Linked DNA regions of Drosophila melanogaster. The protein of the gene in region 1 interacts with the protein of each later gene in a pairwise test. Each region holds a gene or a part of one and is shown in the gene's direction. Other genes may lie near its edges.

Region 1 (10,504 bases):
CAGAGCTATAGTTTCATGTAAGGTAACTAAAATATATATTTTAAATGATATTTTTTACTCCTTTATCAAGATACAAATTGGTAGCACTTTCGCCGCCGTCTTTTACACATTCAAGCCATGTCTTGGACCGCTTCAGTTTTCTTGAGGACTTCCACCACTAGCATGAAGTTTCTGCGTCTGCGCTGGCCTCTCCCCAGAATTCCCCAGAATAAATCGGCAAACGTTGCGCCGCGTTTCAGAAGCAAATCAGCAGTCAGCCAGCTCTCATCTGGATTTAAATTTGTGCAGATCCGCAAAAGTACTTGGTATGTATATTGCTAGACTCTTGGTGTGTGCTTGTGCATCCAGCTTAGGGAAAATATTTAATTGTTTTATCTGCGAACTTCACAAAGATCACCCCAATCGAAAGGGCTTGAAAATCGAGCGTTTTTTGCGAGCGATATCCGCGCGATTATCTAACAAATGGTGCTGTGCAAATTTTCAAGTGTCTCGTTTACGTATATTTCCAATCGATTTAATTGCACAAATCTAATAATTTCAATTGACAGGCATTTGTTGTATCGCTGTAGGGAGATACTTCCGTTTTTCGCAACTTTTCCACGTACTGCGGCTTCGCTGGACGCCTCACTTTGGGTCTGACCTTTAAAAGTAGCTTAGAGGTCATTCGGTTGTTCGGCGAGAGCAAACTGAAAACTCTCCCACTGAGATAAGCGGAAAAGCGGGAAATGCCGCCAGTGTCAGTGACTCTAAATTATTATAGAAATATTTAACTGAAATTTGAAGACAAATTAAATATAGAAAACTCAGGAGGGGCATTTCGAGATTATACCGTGGAGAAAGTCACACCCGAATGGGGATATATGTATAAGTTTACACCACTCACAGCTCAAATTGCAAGTGACTTACATGCTCACAGCTACAATTCTTTGCAAAAAAAAATAATTTTTTATTAATATCTAACCATATTTTGAGAACCAAGTCCAAAAGTATGTCAAAGGTGTATCTCCCATTTCCTTTCTAGTTCGTATTTCTTTTTCGACATATTTCCGAATATTTCACTGCATCACGAAACATATCATTTAACTGTCCATTTGGAACAATTTTAAATATAAATAAGCCCAACTATTTAAGTAATGGCGGGGATTTCGCAAATATTGTGGAGCACATCCGCCATAAAATCTGAATGGCTTCATCTGCGGTCAGCTATTTAATAGAACACCATGCCTAGATTTAAAGTCCTGATAACAGACACTAATTCGCCCTCGTGGACTTTGTTTTTTGTTTTTTGATTTCAGTGACAGCAACGAGATGACCATCAAAGCGATCAAGGCCCGTCAAATCTACGACTCCCGTGGCAACCCCACCGTGGAGGTCGACCTGACCACCGAGCTGGGACTCTTCCGAGCCGCCGTGCCCTCCGGCGCCTCCACTGGCGTCCACGAGGCCCTGGAGCTGCGCGACAACGACAAGGCCAACTACCATGGCAAGTCGGTGCTGAAGGCCGTGGGCCATGTGAACGACACCCTGGGACCCGAGCTGATCAAGGCCAATCTGGATGTGGTTGACCAGGCGTCCATTGACAACTTCATGATCAAGTTGGACGGCACCGAGAACAAGAGCAAGTTCGGAGCCAACGCCATCCTGGGCGTTTCCCTGGCCGTGGCCAAGGCTGGAGCCGCCAAGAAGGGCGTGCCGCTGTACAAACACATTGCCGATCTGGCTGGCAACAAGGAGATCATCCTGCCGGTGCCCGCTTTCAACGTGATCAACGGCGGCAGCCACGCCGGCAACAAGCTGGCCATGCAGGAGTTCATGATCCTGCCCACCGGCGCCACCAGCTTCACAGAGGCCATGAAGATGGGCTCCGAGGTGTACCACCACCTGAAGAATGTGATCAAGGCCAAGTTCGGTCTGGACGCCACCGCTGTGGGCGATGAGGGCGGCTTCGCCCCCAACATCCAGTCCAACAAGGAGGCTCTGAACCTGATCAGCGATGCCATCGCCAAGGCCGGATACACCGGCAAGATCGAGATCGGCATGGACGTGGCCGCCTCCGAGTTCTACAAGGATGGCCAGTACGATCTGGACTTCAAGAACGAGAAGAGCGACAAGTCGCAGTGGCTGCCCGCCGACAAGCTGGCCAACCTGTACCAGGAGTTTATTAAGGACTTCCCCATCGTCTCGATTGAGGATCCCTTTGACCAGGACCACTGGGAGGCCTGGTCCAACCTGACCGGCTGCACCGACATCCAGATCGTGGGCGATGATCTGACCGTGACCAACCCCAAGCGTATTGCCACCGCCGTGGAGAAGAAGGCCTGCAACTGCCTGCTCCTGAAGGTCAACCAGATCGGCACCGTCACCGAGTCCATTGCCGCCCATCTGCTGGCCAAGAAGAACGGCTGGGGCACCATGGTCTCCCACCGTTCCGGTGAGACCGAGGACTCGTTCATCGGTGACCTGGTCGTCGGTCTGTCCACCGGCCAGATCAAGACCGGAGCTCCATGCCGCTCGGAGCGTCTGGCCAAGTACAACCAGATCCTGCGCATCGAGGAGGAGATCGGCGCTGGCGTCAAGTTCGCCGGCAAGTCGTTCAGGAAGCCGCAGTAAGCGCAGGGCACTTCGAAATTCCAACCACACCAGCCCCATCGAATGAGATCTGGATCTTGGAGAGGGAGCTGGACGCAGTAGATCCATGGAAAGGCGGCGGTGCACGTGTTCGTCAACCTTTTACGTTCGGAACTTGTGTCTGGCGCACAAATACATCAGAATTAAACTACCAAACCCATTTGCTGTCTCTATGCTTCGTTCTTAGACATTATTAATTAATGCTAAACCTTGATCTAATCATTATTTATAAACAAAAGAATAAAAAACACTATGTGCAAGATATTCGTTCAGTTGCCGAGAGCTTTGAATATCTTCAATGTAATCGCTGTAATCGTTATGAAATTATAAATTGATCTACACAAACACCAAATCCACAAACAGACAAGTTATTCACTTCAAAAACGGTTATGAAACAATTGTTGAGACATAGAATTTAAGCGAAAGCTGTTGGAATATTCTTATCGAATATACACGGTGTTCAATAGAGATCTTAATCAGATGGAATAGTACACCAAATATTAAACATATTCAGATTTGTTAGTTGATGTGAAATAAAAAGTATAAAAGTTACTGAATTCTTTTCTTCGATCACTTGTGGCGTTGCCAGATAATCAAGTAAACTCAAGTAAGGGCAACTAAAGTAAAGGCAACTATCTTAAAACATTTTCTGGATTTGGATTAAGATTGAATGGATCTGAATTATTCATTATCTCTGAACTGATGAATGAAGTTATTAAACTTTGAATACGATCTTTTTTCTATCTTTATCTTTGCTTTCCACCAATTAGTCGAGTATTTCAATAAGCTTTTTCAACTTTCTGTGAATAAAATTGAATTTCTAGGGTGGACCAAAATGGCGCTCAAAGTTTCGCACAGAACCGTTGAATTCCCCAGTTTGTTGGTATTTTTTAGGTCGTTTCTTGGCGCCTCGCAGCGGCGGTATGCTTCCACAGTCGCAGTGCGGTCACTCTCACGGACGTGTTTTTTTACATCGGATCGAAAATAAATTAATGCAAAGCTAAATCACAAACGCTAGGGATCGGCGAGCTCGAAATCGAATCAGTGCACCGGCCGACCGACGGACTTTAACTGCGCGCAAGCTAACCGTAGGTTAAGTTAACGCTCAGCACTGCAACCACTGCAGTTGCATAACCGTTGCCGAAAATCAAGTCGAAAAGTCGGAGAATCGCGGCCAAGCGAAAGCCCCAAAAGTTCAAAGGACAATAGAAAGTGGCAAGAGGAAGAGAGGAGAGCGTGCTAAGAGCCCCTCCCCCTGGGGCCCCGCCCCCCACACCTCCGCCCACAAAGTGCCTTAACAATATAGTGCGTTTTGCCAAAGTTAAAACCAAGTGCGCGTCCAAGTAGCCGCCCATTTCGGTGGAGCCTATTCCGGAACTGGGAAGACAACGAAGATGGCCCAGAACACGGCCGACACTCTCATCCACCTGATCGCCGGCGGGTAAGTCTGCCTGCCTGACATTCTCCCTACTGCGTCTTATCGCAGGTCAGGCCATCAGCGTAGAACGAAACCGGTTTGCTCCCGGCCTCTAATTGTAATTGCTCGGCGGGAACGGCGCAATTGGCGATTAGATTTGGGCTGGCCCACGAAGGGGAGCTGAACTATTTTGGCGCCACTGCCAAAAGGGAGCAAACCGAAAAAGAAATGCGGCCAGCGCAGGGAAACACACAACACAAACTGATCTTCGGGAAACATGCTACGTTCACGTGCTTTGCATTAAAAGAAGGGTATTTGTTGTTCGATAAATCGCAGCTAAAGTGAGCGAAATACGCAGAACATATGTAATTAATTAAAGCGCGCCTGCAGCGAACAAACATTCATAAACAGCGCATTTCTGGGTTCATTTTCCGCAGGCAATGTCCACTTGGATTCATTCCGATTCCCCTGGACAGGCAATTGCTTTGTTGTTGTTTCCCTTATGGACTTTTATTGTGGCTTTTATATGCGGCTATTTTTAGACGCGTCGCATCTGAATTTATTTTTGTTTTCACCTGCACCCTACACACACAATGGCCGGCACATTAGTTCTTCCACATTAGTTTGCCCAGCGGAAAACCAGTTTCCAGCGATCGAGAATCGATCCCAAGTCGAGCCCCTGGTCAGTCGGGAAACGATCGCATTTCAATTGAATTACGCTCGAAATACGAACTTTGTTATTTATGCTTGACAGCTCTCAGCTTTAAATAGTTTATTTTTGTTGATATTTATATTTGGGATAGTAAACAAGTGTTTATAGAGTTTGTTTATAAAGTATCTCCTAGTCCATGATAGTTTTTCCACAGAAAATATTTGCTATACTTCGCTCCTTATGACTGCAATCCAGATTTCCACTTTATAAAAACAACAGCTCACCGTTTCTGACAACTTTTGATCGACGCGGGTGGCCTTGGTGAAGGCCTTTGATAGCATGACCCCCCACCTATAATAATTCCGCTGAATGGCACTTCTAATGCCCCGCCACAGTGGCAATCAAGTCTCTCCGGGCAATTTGCCGGCCGGCAGTGCAAGTCCACTTATCAGCGGGGGAAAAAAGCAACCACACAGTTGTGGCACCCACCCATGTCCGTATGTATCCATGTCCGTATGTATCCGTGTCCGTATCTAACGAGTCGCTGCACATATGCGTAGTATATACTTTAGTGGGCTGGAAATACGCTGCACGTTGCAACCTGAGCTGGCTAATACCCCAGTTGTTCTGGCCGCCTTCCACTTGTCGTCGCTTGCCGGGTATCTCGTGTTGGTACACGTTGCGAAAACAAATCGAAAGGCGTAACAACCTTGCCTCCCCGCCACACAATGCTATCGCAGCAAGTAAGCCGCACGGCAAACAATCAAACGACATCCATCTAATCGGGCATCAGAGGCCTCCAAGGGGCTTACATAAGTTGAAGAGGGGCAGTGCACATTACTATTAAGGAACTGCACAGCTAACATTGTTCTAAGATCGGAAAACAGTTTACTTTATTTATAATTTATATCCATTTGTAGCTTAGTGTTTATAGTGAAATATTTCCTACTATCGCCAATTAGCAGCGTTGCGAAATGTCTGATCTATTCCCTAAAATCTTTGATTTGGCACACTAATATTGCGGATTTCGCTATAGCCCACATATAATATAGAATATATGATATAAAATAGATGGTGCATTGTATTTTCCTACATACTAGCTAAAAACAATTCTAAATTGAGCTTGGCAAGCGATTTCGAATTTGTTTTGGTTCTCAGCGAGACAGCACAGGCAAATAAACTTTTTCTGGGACACTGACTCAGTTGAAGGCGAGTGGGGAATGCAACAAACAACAGATCCCAAGGTGTTCGATGAGGTTTTTGGGGGGATAATAGCAATGTCACTATGGCTACAAGGTGCACATTGCTCTTTCGATTCCTCGTCTGCAGTTCAAATAAGATATAGTAACGCGCTTTCTCACATAGTTTCATTATTCCAAACTTTTCCATCGGCTGGCATTTGTTTGTATCTTGCTCGACCAGGTCAAAATATTCAAAAAAAAAAAAAAAAGTATATTCCTCGCCCGGTTTTCAGACGTGTCTCTCTGCACGTACGCATATTTTGAAAAGAGCACCTTTTTTGAAAGGTTGCAATAAGCATAAGAAAGTCACTTCAATGGAAATGGTATATTTTAATCTTTGAACTTTCGATATGATATTAAGATTTATTGTAAAGCCCATTGGCGCACTGAAATTGTGTCAAGGGCGTCTTTTTTTATAACACTCTTGATCTAGACACACATTCTGATATTTCAGAATATATATATATATATATTTATACGGAAGCGAGAAATGCGAATGAAAATTCGGTGATCATATAGAAGATCGCGTGCCAAGAGTTATTCGAAATTAATAGGAAAACATTATTATTCTAGTCTAGAATTAGAGAGCACAGAGCTCGTTCGTAACCCTCGATTCCTTTGACCCATAAACAATAACATTGAAAACTTTCCATAGATTTCGTAATCCATCTCAAAGAAGCCAAAGGCAGCAGGAGCCAAAGAAAAAACGTGAAAATAAAAGCGGCATTGATAAGATGGGAGCCTAGGTCTGCGAAATGCCAAAACCATTGAAAATGGCGTACTATATTTGCGTTGATAAGGAAAGGCTTCCCGAAAAGTTGTCTTTATCAGTCGTCTATGTGTGTATAATGTGTGTGTGTGTGGGGGGCTGCCCTTCCTCGAGCAGTTGGACAAAAGTCACCCCAGCAGAGCTGACGCATTGCCGCCCAGCGGTATTATCACTCAACTCCCCTTCTGTATTTACGTATCCCCCATAGACGATGTCTGCGGGTCCAAAATTTCCGCTCTTATCTCGGCAACGTGTGTGTTTTTTCGGCAGGAATGTCAAGGAACAGATAAATCGCACATTAACTGGTTGCAAATGGCACGATTCTCGCACATGCGTCGCCAAAGGCCATCGATCGGGCATAGCTAAGTGCATATATATAGATCTGAATATATGTGTGATCGGACTGAACGTACTTGGATGCAGTTGTAAACCTTACTAATTGGGCCACAGAGAAACTAAGTACTTGACCCAATATTTATTGAGGGATTTATTTGCGAATGAACTTATACTGCGAGCTACTTTGTGGAGCTATTAATCTCAGCTCACAAGCATGACTGGCACTCTTGCCTGATTTATTGCTAAATGGTATAGCTATAGGATACCCTCTAATATTCATACCCCTCAATTCTAGTTCATCACATGCAAGTGGTGAATCGATTCATTAATCGTTCCACTGAATTGTTTGTCCAACTGTCTGGGTAAATTACCTTCGGCTCACGTGGAATGGGTAGCAGTTAGCTTAATTCTCGCGTGATGTGCCAGCCAGATGCTAATTGGAACCCGTTAGTGCATTGATCAAATGCGTATCATGGTGGTTGGGCTGGAGCGATGAAGGGAAGCTCTATCCAGATGAAGTGACCAAAAGGCAGCATATGGCATGTTAATTGGCCGCAGGTTCCGCAGGCCGCAAAGCCATTATGTCACAGTCATTATGCATACCAGATTCGAGGTGGATCGGGCAGCCATAGAAGTGCTCCGTTCTGTGCCCGGTGGACGTGGCTCACAGATAGACTCCCTGGCTGATAAGAGGCTGCTTTTGTCCGGTCAGTGCAATTCATTCGCTGGCAGGCATCAAAGGTTATCGAGCGTGGAGCCGGGTCAATTCGCAACCAGTTCGCACCGGATTTGAATAGCCGGGAATCGCAGCAATCTCCTACAGATTTGCGAAATCAAACGAGGCAGACGTCTGATTAAATGTTGTTATTTTTACTATTTTATTGCTCCAGGATTAGGGGAGCCATTCGTGTCTGTGCCCAAAGTATCTGTGCCCATCGATCAAACTTCTGGCCTCCTTTCTCTGTCATTTCATTTCCACTTCTGAGTTGCATAACCTTTTCCCCTTTCGCGAGCTTTTAGCCGCCGATTATGTGTACATAGCTATTTAATTTCACAATTCCCAGTTGCCAACTACTGATTCACAAGTTGGCGATCACGAGCTATGCTTCTGCAAACATGTGCTCATACAATATATTTCTAGATAGCAAACTTACCCTATTGATAAAAAGCTATCTTTTTGGGAAAGGTCGTGTATAATTAATTTTTTGGGGCACTCTTTTGCCGCCGTGTAAACATTAATTATTAATCTTTTGCGAAACGAAAGTCAAGGTTACGGTGGCATTAGCTAGTTCAGTGATAAATAGTCTAAATTCTGACTGCTGCAAATCATTTCTTCACACATTTCATTTGCATCTTCTTAGGCCATTTCGCAGTTCAGTAAACAATCGACCGACCTTGCGTTACATGCACTTGGAATTTGCAACGCATCGAATTGGAAAATATTCTGTAATTCGCTCGGCTACTTGGTGGACAACGGCTCCTCCTTCTTTCATGCCCGCTCCTACGTGATTTTCCCAGCCCAAAACCCCTCCATTGCATCAGGCATTTGGCAAAACGCTACTCATTTCCGATGCAGCCAATCAATGGTGGCCACCACTTAAGTCGAAATGGAATGGAATGGGACAAGCTACTCGAGTGGTGGTGCTATACTATACTATACTATATGCACGGAATGGAAGCACATTTTTAGCCGGCGTATTGCGCAAATCCAAGAAATACGAGTTTGGGAAATAGATATTTTTCTGCCCGCTTGATTGCCAAATGAGATTTATTTTCGTGTTATTCATAGTTGAGCACTTGCCATTGAAAATGGGGAGGAATATATGTACTTTTTTTTTTGTTCTATTTAAGTCTTTCAGGCAATTTAAGAAACGTCAAAGTCAAAGAACTAAAAGAATTGATAGTGGGAAATGTAACTTTTGTGATTTATTCCTGCTTGGATGAGGATTTCGAAGAGATTTTACTAACTGGGCATGTTTTGATGTTTCATTTTCATCCGCACAGATCCGCTGGCACAGTGGGTGCCGTTGTCACATGCCCCCTGGAGGTGGTGAAGACTCGCCTGCAGAGCTCCACGGCGTTCATGACGCCGTCGCGGCTGGCGGAGAATGCCGGAGGAGGACCGGCGAACGGTGGCCAATCGGAGCTGCTGCGGCCGGAACAACGACGTAAGCTAAGCACAACGATATTACGTAACAGATCACAGCCACAGGTGATTGGGGGTGTGCGTAGGGTAGTACCAACTTCTTTTACCTATTCTCTCATCGCCCATCTAACCCACCGCCACTGCATCCTAACAAGCTAAGCCCACGAAATGGAGTGGTCTCGAACAACTTCGATGCGTCGTTGCCTTCATCTCCATTGCCTCTAGTCTGGATGCGACTGGTTTACTAACTCACCTGTTTTTGCCTTGCAGATCATGGCCATTTCACACTGCGGCATCTCATCCACAACGCCCAAATCCATGAGCATCGTGCAGTGCCTGCGGTAAGTTCACCCTAGCTTCCATCAACTGCCAGTTACTATAATGCATCGAGCTGCTCCTGCAGGCACATTGTCCAGAACGAGGGTCCACGCGCCCTGTTCAAGGGTCTGGGTCCGAATCTCGTGGGCGTGGCCCCATCCCGTGCCATTTACTTCTGCACCTACTCGCAAACCAAAAACACGCTCAACAGTCTGGGGTAAGTCTGGTTTTGGTACACTGTGTGTACATCTAGCCGAGCAGCACCAAATTAATGCCTGGACTTGATCCCCAGCTTTGTTGAACGTGACTCGCCACTGGTGCACATCATGAGTGCAGCGAGTGCCGGCTTTGTCTCCTCCACGGCAACGAATCCCATTTGGTTTGTGAAGACGCGAATGCAGCTGGACTACAACTCCAAGGTGCAGATGACCGTGAGGCAGTGCATCGAGAGGGTGTACGCCCAGGGAGGCGTGGCGGCCTTCTACAAGGGCATCACGGCCAGCTACTTTGGAATCTGCGAGACGATGGTGCACTTTGTCATCTACGAGTTTATCAAGTCCAAGTTGGTAAGTAGTTGAATTTAATGCGCACTAGTTTCCCTCCGACTTAAAATCGCTTTCACAAACAGCTAGAGCAGCGAAATCAGCGGCATACGGACACCAAGGGATCCCGCGACTTTCTGGAGTTCATGATGGCTGGCGCTGTTTCCAAAACCATCGCCTCCTGCATCGCCTATCCCCACGAAGTGGCACGCACTCGTCTGCGGGAGGAGGGCAACAAATACAACTCCTTCTGGCAGACCCTGCACACTGTTTGGAAGGAGGAGGGCAGAGCAGGACTCTACAGGTGGGTAAAATAGATGAGCAGAGTGAATTTTCAATTTGATACGACATTAAGGCAATCAACTTGTACTTAGGGATTCCCTTGTTCGTGTAGTTCCCTTGAATCCGTCTTGAAATAGAATCGAAGGGAATCCCACTTGCACTCCGACATGTAT
Region 2 (6,718 bases), on another chromosome or scaffold:
TTTGCGAAAAAATAAAGGATTAATTATATGCATATATATATTTATGTTAAAAAAAAACATTGTAGTTCTTTTTGCAAGTTTTATATTTACATCAGATGTAATTATTTTTTGGAGGTACCAAATTGTAAATGTTAGTTATCCATAATCCTGTTATTAGCCTAGAACTACTGTGCGCATCGCCTGTTCGTCATTTATGCACGACTGACTTTGTTTTCACATTCACACGGTACCCAGAGCCCGGAGCCCAGTAGTACATGGGTTGTTGTCCGGTCTTCAGGCTTCGGGATTTCGGGCGATGCGGTGGGAGGAGGAGGGGTTAGGGCTCGCCACAGAGCCGTCGTCGAAGGGGCCTCGAATAGCACCTGTTCCCTTCTGCGAGCGTGGGACTAAGACGCTGCGCATTTCCGTCCTGGGGAACTGGCAATGGTTAGGGCAAAGGCAATGGCAAAGGCAAAAGGCGCAGGCGTCGCCGTTGTTCGATGTCGATGTCTTCGAGTGTGGGAAAGGGCTTATAAGAATTTCACTTGGGTTTTCGGCTTTTTTCGGGGCACTATTATTGTTGTTGCTTCTGCTGCTGACGCTGTTATTTCTGTTTCCTTTCGATGTGATTTTTGTTTCGGCTGAGCAGCTGTTATTGCTACTTGTTGGCCTGTTTGTTGTCATTTATAATCAGGCTCGCAGAGCCCGGCGCTGATAAGTTCATTTTAAAAGGGACTAGTCGCAACGAGGGGATTATGACATGTTGTGGTTCACACGCTCCGAACTGGGAACGGAAAACGGGATGGGAATCGGATGGCATAAGTATGGGTATGCCATGGCAATGGGCATGGCCATCGGTATGGGGGATCTAATGAGGCCGTGACCTCATTCAGGCAGCAAGTCCTTGCCGGATCGCAGGTTCCCACACTGCACAACAATCGGAGTTAGCTGCCATAACTAGTTAGGCCAGCTCAGCTACGAATCGGGTTTTAATTTTCTTCATATATATATTTTGTGCCCGAAACTCGTGCCAATCGCGTGTGCACCGCACGCTTGCGCACCAGAGATCTCTCGACGCGACTTGACTCTGTTGCCTTTGGCCGCTATTAATCTTGGCTGAAACACCACCAGCACTTCCCTTACCCCACCAGCCCGCGCACTTTTGCCCCCAATCAGCGTCTAGGCTTTGAACTGCACGTTTGCCAAATTGAAAGCGACTGACTTGGCAACACGGACACCGGCTGAGACTCCAACTCGTAGCGCGACTTCCAAGCCAGCACCGACTCCAACTGCGATTGCGATTGCAGCTCCAACAGAGGCCAGCTTGTGCCTGGGCTTGTGCCTTTCAGCAACGGACTCTGGTAGTCGTTAGGCGATTCATACTCTCTCTTATATGGGTCTTTGGGACATATGAACATAGATTCAGGAAGATATGACTTTCATGATATGCTAGGAAACTGCTGTTATAATATTAATATTAAATATCATATGTTTACTTAAAATTTTTTAATTTACAGACTAGTACTAGTTATCTTAATGGGGACTTAATGTAATTTATTATATCTCTCAAGAGCATTGGCAATTCGCTAATCGATGACCCGTCAAGACTGCCTTTACCCATCAGCAACTATTTGGCTTTTAAGCTTTTGGTTCACACGACTGGCGATGGCAACAAGTTTTGTGCAAAACTATATATACATCGGCAGACAAACAGACGGGCATATATGACAAGCAATTAGTGTGCATTGAGGTTAGTCGAAAATGGTTTTGCGGTCTCTCTATTTCTGTCCATCGGTGTCTGCGTGATTATTTTGCATATTCGCATTACTCATACGCCACGTGTGCCGGTCGAGTTGAAAGTTGAGGCATCTTGAAAGGCGAACCATCGAAATGCCTTGAGAGTCTTAATTGTTATGGCTCCAGTCAGCAGAAAGGCAAGCCAAGTCAAGCCAAACGGCTAACGGAAGTCATGGCCAGAAGACAAACAAACAGAGCGATTCTGCAGCATCATGGGAAATGCTTAGCCAGGCAAAAAGCACGGCCACAAAAAATAACTCCGAGGCGTCCAACCACAAGTGTCATATTGCTGCGATGGTGATAAAGTCGGCCCAACAGCAGCTGTGAAAAAAGGGGCATAAAAAACAGGCAACATTTTATACACTCAGTGCTGACCAGTAGCCCTGAGATCAGCGAATTAAAAGAAATATGTGGAGGACGGGCGAAAAACGAATCTTAGAACGACAACCGGATGTTAAAGTTTATTACGAAAGGCGACAAATGCCGAAGGGTTGGTAATCGGACTATGCAAAAAGAGTTTTATTTCTTTCATTTTGGAACCCCCAATGCGCCGAGATAGCGAAACTGTTACACTTAATCGATACGCTTCAACGAAAAGTCAACCCACAGCCCCAGCCATAGTGGTGGTTGTGCACTGTGAGAAATATTTGAAAACTTAAAAAAAAAAACTGATTACATTTGAATTCGGTTATAAGTAAAATATCAAAATATATATATTTTCCATTCTTCCGAAATGGGGTGATCTATATTTATTGGTAATTAACATAGTTGCTGTTATTGAAATTGTTTCAAATCTACTTTAAACTCCCAAAAAGACCGCACATTTTGTCCACGTGCAGTTGTCGCAGTCATCATCATCAGCCAAGCATGCGACATAATTGCGCGAGTTAAGGCTGCCCCTCCACCCAGCCATCCCTCACCAGTTCGCCCACTGCCCCCCATTGGCGGCTGACAGTCAACCCGCTTGAAATCAACCAGCAGCAACAGCAACAACATTTCAGCAATCCATCGGATCGCATCACAATCCAGCCATCCGTCCAACGTGTGGGAAACACACGACAAATCTGTTTCCCACGGTCTCGTAAAGTAGGCACACCGCACACACACACAAACACCCATCCCCATCCACTGAGCCATGGGACCCACAATCACATAGGCTACTGCCTCGTAGGCTCCCTCGTGTCTCATTCTCATTGTTGGTGTGAGCGGTACGGAGCAGCGGACTTCGACAGCGAATGGGAGCCGAGCACTGTCATCATTGACAATAAGTATGACATGGATGAGGGGGGATGGAGGGCGGGGTGGAGCGGCCTGAGAGACACGCGCAGTCGCCGAGAATGAGATCCAATCCGAAAGCCGACTGTCGACTGCCGACTGCTCAGTTTCCCTCTGGCCATGCAATCAATTGAAGACGACGCGCGCCAGAGCACCAAAGCTGCAGATACAGATACATTTGTATCTGCGGCGGGGCACGCTCTCGCTCGCTCCCATTGCATGCACCTTGGTTCGAAGTCGACTAGTTTCGGTTAATAATACTAATTTTGGACTAATAGTATTACTTTCAATAAGCAGATTTTACGAAAATAATTGCAGTTTTATTAACTTTGTAAGTGATTAATATTTTTTGAAATTGCTTTCTTTCAGGTCTTAAAATTTAGCAAATTTTTAAATCGTCCTTTTGGTTGAACAATTATGTTGCATACTTTTGAGAGTCATATAAAAAATAGTTGTAGCAAAATATAAAGAACACAAATTTAACACTATTGGAAATGAAAAATATTGATATTATATTCGCATTGCTAAAATGGATTATTTCTTATTTTTTATAATAAGCATAATTAAGAAGGTAAAGAGTTCCATGGTGATGGTCCCACTGTACCCCCTGCAGACGGTACAACCCCCATCATCGATGGCCTACAGTAGCCTCTCTTTGTGCCGCTGCCGAGCGCCGCTACCGATCCGCGACCGAAAAGAACCGAAGTGGAACTCGATCTTGGGCCCGAGTGCCTGGGAGCGTGTGTGAGTGATCATGCGGGAGCTTTGTGGCCGGGAGAGCCTGATCCCCGTTTGCCGGGAGAGCGTGGCTGTCATATAAAAGTAGGGCTGGGAACTAGTTTGCCACTCATTTCGTAAAAGTGCCGCCACTCGAACGCACCGCAATCGGTGGAACGCGCAACGCACGCGCAACAAACTCGTCAAAAAGTAACCAATCTATGAAACCAACCAAAATCAGTAGTGATAATGTGCAGTTGAGAGACTAAATACAAAAGAACAATCCTTAAAATACACAACATAAAACAACCCAATCGATCATGGTCATGGAGATGTCCAAGACGTATCAGTACCGCAAGGTGATGAAGCCGCTGCTGGAGCGCAAACGGCGAGCCAGGATCAACAAGTGTCTGGACGATCTCAAGGATCTGATGGTGGAGTGCCTGCAGCAGGAGGGCGAGCACGTCACCCGGCTGGAGAAGGCGGATATCCTGGAGTTGACCGTGGATCACATGAGGAAACTCAAGCAGCGGGGTGGTCTTTCGCTGCAGGGAGTAGTGGCTGGTGTTGGCAGCCCACCCACCTCAACCAGTACCGCCCACGTGGAGTCCTTTCGCTCCGGCTATGTGCATGCTGCCGATCAGATTACCCAGGTCCTGCTGCAGACACAGCAAACCGATGAGATTGGGCGCAAGATAATGAAATTCCTATCGACGCGACTAATTGAGCTGCAGACGCAGTTGCTCCAGCAGCAGCAGCAACAGCAACAACACCAGCAGCAGCAAATACCGCAATCATCAGGCCGCCTAGCCTTCCCGCTGCTGGGAGGATATGGACCGGCAGCCGCCGCTGCCGCCATTAGTTACAGCTCCTTCCTGACCAGCAAGGACGAACTGATCGATGTGACATCCGTCGATGGCAATGCGTTATCCGAGACGGCGTCGGTTAGCTCGCAGGAGTCCGGCGCCTCTGAGCCCGTCTGGAGGCCCTGGTAATTGGGCGTGCCCAATATGGATCTTATCCCTAATATTATAATCGCAACCCAAAAAAATGGCTATTGACCGTTCTGCAACAAGATCCGTTGTCTTCCAAAGTAAATCATATCAACCTAAGTTAATTGAGGTCTAATCGATTTCTGAATGGTTTTGAAATACTTTTAGTTTTAGTTCCGATAATGGTAATTTGTAAATTAATTGTTTAATTTCAACTGTGATATAACTAAAGTACGTTGATCAATCAATCAGTGAATATATATTCGAGTGCGCTATTTTCCTACTCCAAAAGTTCCCTAAGTTTAATATCTCGTTGCGCTCTCTTTATTGTTTAGCATATATTAAGCTTTAAATAATTTATAAATGTTAATTTATGATTAGTTGAGAAAGAATAATCAAAAATACACTACCCAAATAAAATAAATGATTTAAATTGAAAACACAATGTTTTTCTTTTGCGGGATTTCAAAATTTTATAAAATATTTATTTTGTTATATTAATAAATATAAACAAACTGAACGATATTATGCAAACCTAACGGAATACTGTTCATTCTTGTCCCAGTCCGCCAATGTTGTTTACTGCCCCAATAAATTACCTTTAATTGAACATCACCTCAAATGTATGCAACACATTTTCGACTCGACCCTGATTCATTCCCATAAGCAGATCATCTAATTGGAGCCTGTTCTTACCACCAATCTGATCGGCAATCAACAGATCCTCTCTACCTGCCCGATAACTGGTTGGCATTGTGGTCCAAATCAACAGGCCAAACAACAACCGTCAATATGCACTACCTGCTGGCAGGTAAATTGATCAACAATAAGACCAAAAAAGGTTCAGGATCGAATCGGATTAGGGTCCGCTCGTTTTTCAAATGAGTCATGCCAATTAAGAAAGGACTTCGCTCCCCATTTATTTTCTGTGTTGATTTGTAAACGGAAAATTGTTGGAACAATAAGGGGGAAACAAAGAATTTAGATTCCTATTCAATTATTTTTTTTTTGGGTGAAATGTAACACAATTTTTGGTAAAGATTACCAATTTCCAAATGTGTGATTTAAGAGAAGGCCCATTTCATACGATTTATCAATGATTAAAAGTAAAAAAAACAGTGGTTGATTTCATTTAAATTGTATATATATTTTGATTTTTTTGTGTTTGTTAAGTAAAATGTATCACAATTTTTGTAAAGCTCTTCAGTTGAGTTGATCGGCTTGCGTGTTAATTTTTGTGGAATGGTTTCAAAAATTAACGGAAGACGTTGATTAAAGCTGGAGATCCAATGGAAGACATAGTTGCCGGATGATGGATGCAGGTTGCAGGACGCTGATATTTTTTAGGCCTGAACCCAACGATCCTGGGGGATAGCGATGGCGTTGGAGGTGCTGCAGTAGAGGGGCTCGACGAGGTCGTTGTCGGCTGGCAAATCGGAGACGGCGGTCCAGAAGAATGTGCCGTGAGCGGTGCGGACGAAGTGAACGGGAACGGTGGGCAGTTGCTCGAAGTCGTAGTCCTCAATTTCGCAGGACTGGGAGAGACGCTCGTTGGCCTCGTTCTCGCAGGACTCCAGAGAGGCGCAGATGGAGGCGGATTCCAGATCGGCGTTGCGGCTGTTTTCCATGGATTCCAGAGACTCCAAAGAGTTGGCCTTGAGGGCGTTCTTGAGGTTCTGCTCCTCCTCGACGCGCTGTTGCTGCTTGAAGATCTTCTGCAGCAGTTTCTTCACGCTGTAGGACAGCTTCTTGTTCGATTTGATGGTCATGGTGTTGTTGGTGTTGATCTTGTTCTGGCACATGATGATGTGTTTTGGAATTTTGTGTTTAGCTGCTGTGTAGCTGAGATGTGTACTGTACGAAGCGTTGAGCTCGAATGATGCCTGATCCTCCGAGCCAGGGTCCTTTTATACTCGCCAGGACGTGGAGAAACCCGAAGCCGAGCAGGTCACAAAACA

Evidence for each region.
Region 2: the proteins of Rim2 (region 1) and E(spl)m3-HLH interact in a two-hybrid assay, tested with the Drosophila melanogaster proteins (one large-scale study listed by BioGRID).

What each region holds. Positions count from the first base shown.
Region 1 is NT_033779.5:1,717,447-1,727,950, reverse strand, and holds the start of Rim2 (replication in mitochondria 2), read left to right. Parts: upstream 1-3,562; 5' UTR 3,563-4,022; coding exon 4,023-4,069; intron 4,070-9,047; coding exon 9,048-9,276; intron 9,277-9,459; coding exon 9,460-9,530; intron 9,531-9,592; coding exon 9,593-9,724; intron 9,725-9,799; coding exon 9,800-10,073; intron 10,074-10,135; coding exon 10,136-10,353; intron 10,354-10,504. Other genes in the region: Eno (enolase), read left to right, coding at 118-305, 1,296-2,610.
Region 2 is NT_033777.3:26,017,932-26,024,649, forward strand, and holds E(spl)m3-HLH (enhancer of split m3, helix-loop-helix), read left to right. Parts: upstream 1-3,891; 5' UTR 3,892-4,088; coding exon 4,089-4,763; 3' UTR 4,764-5,196; downstream 5,197-6,718. Other genes in the region: E(spl)m4-BFM (enhancer of split m4, bearded family member), read right to left, coding at 6,104-6,562.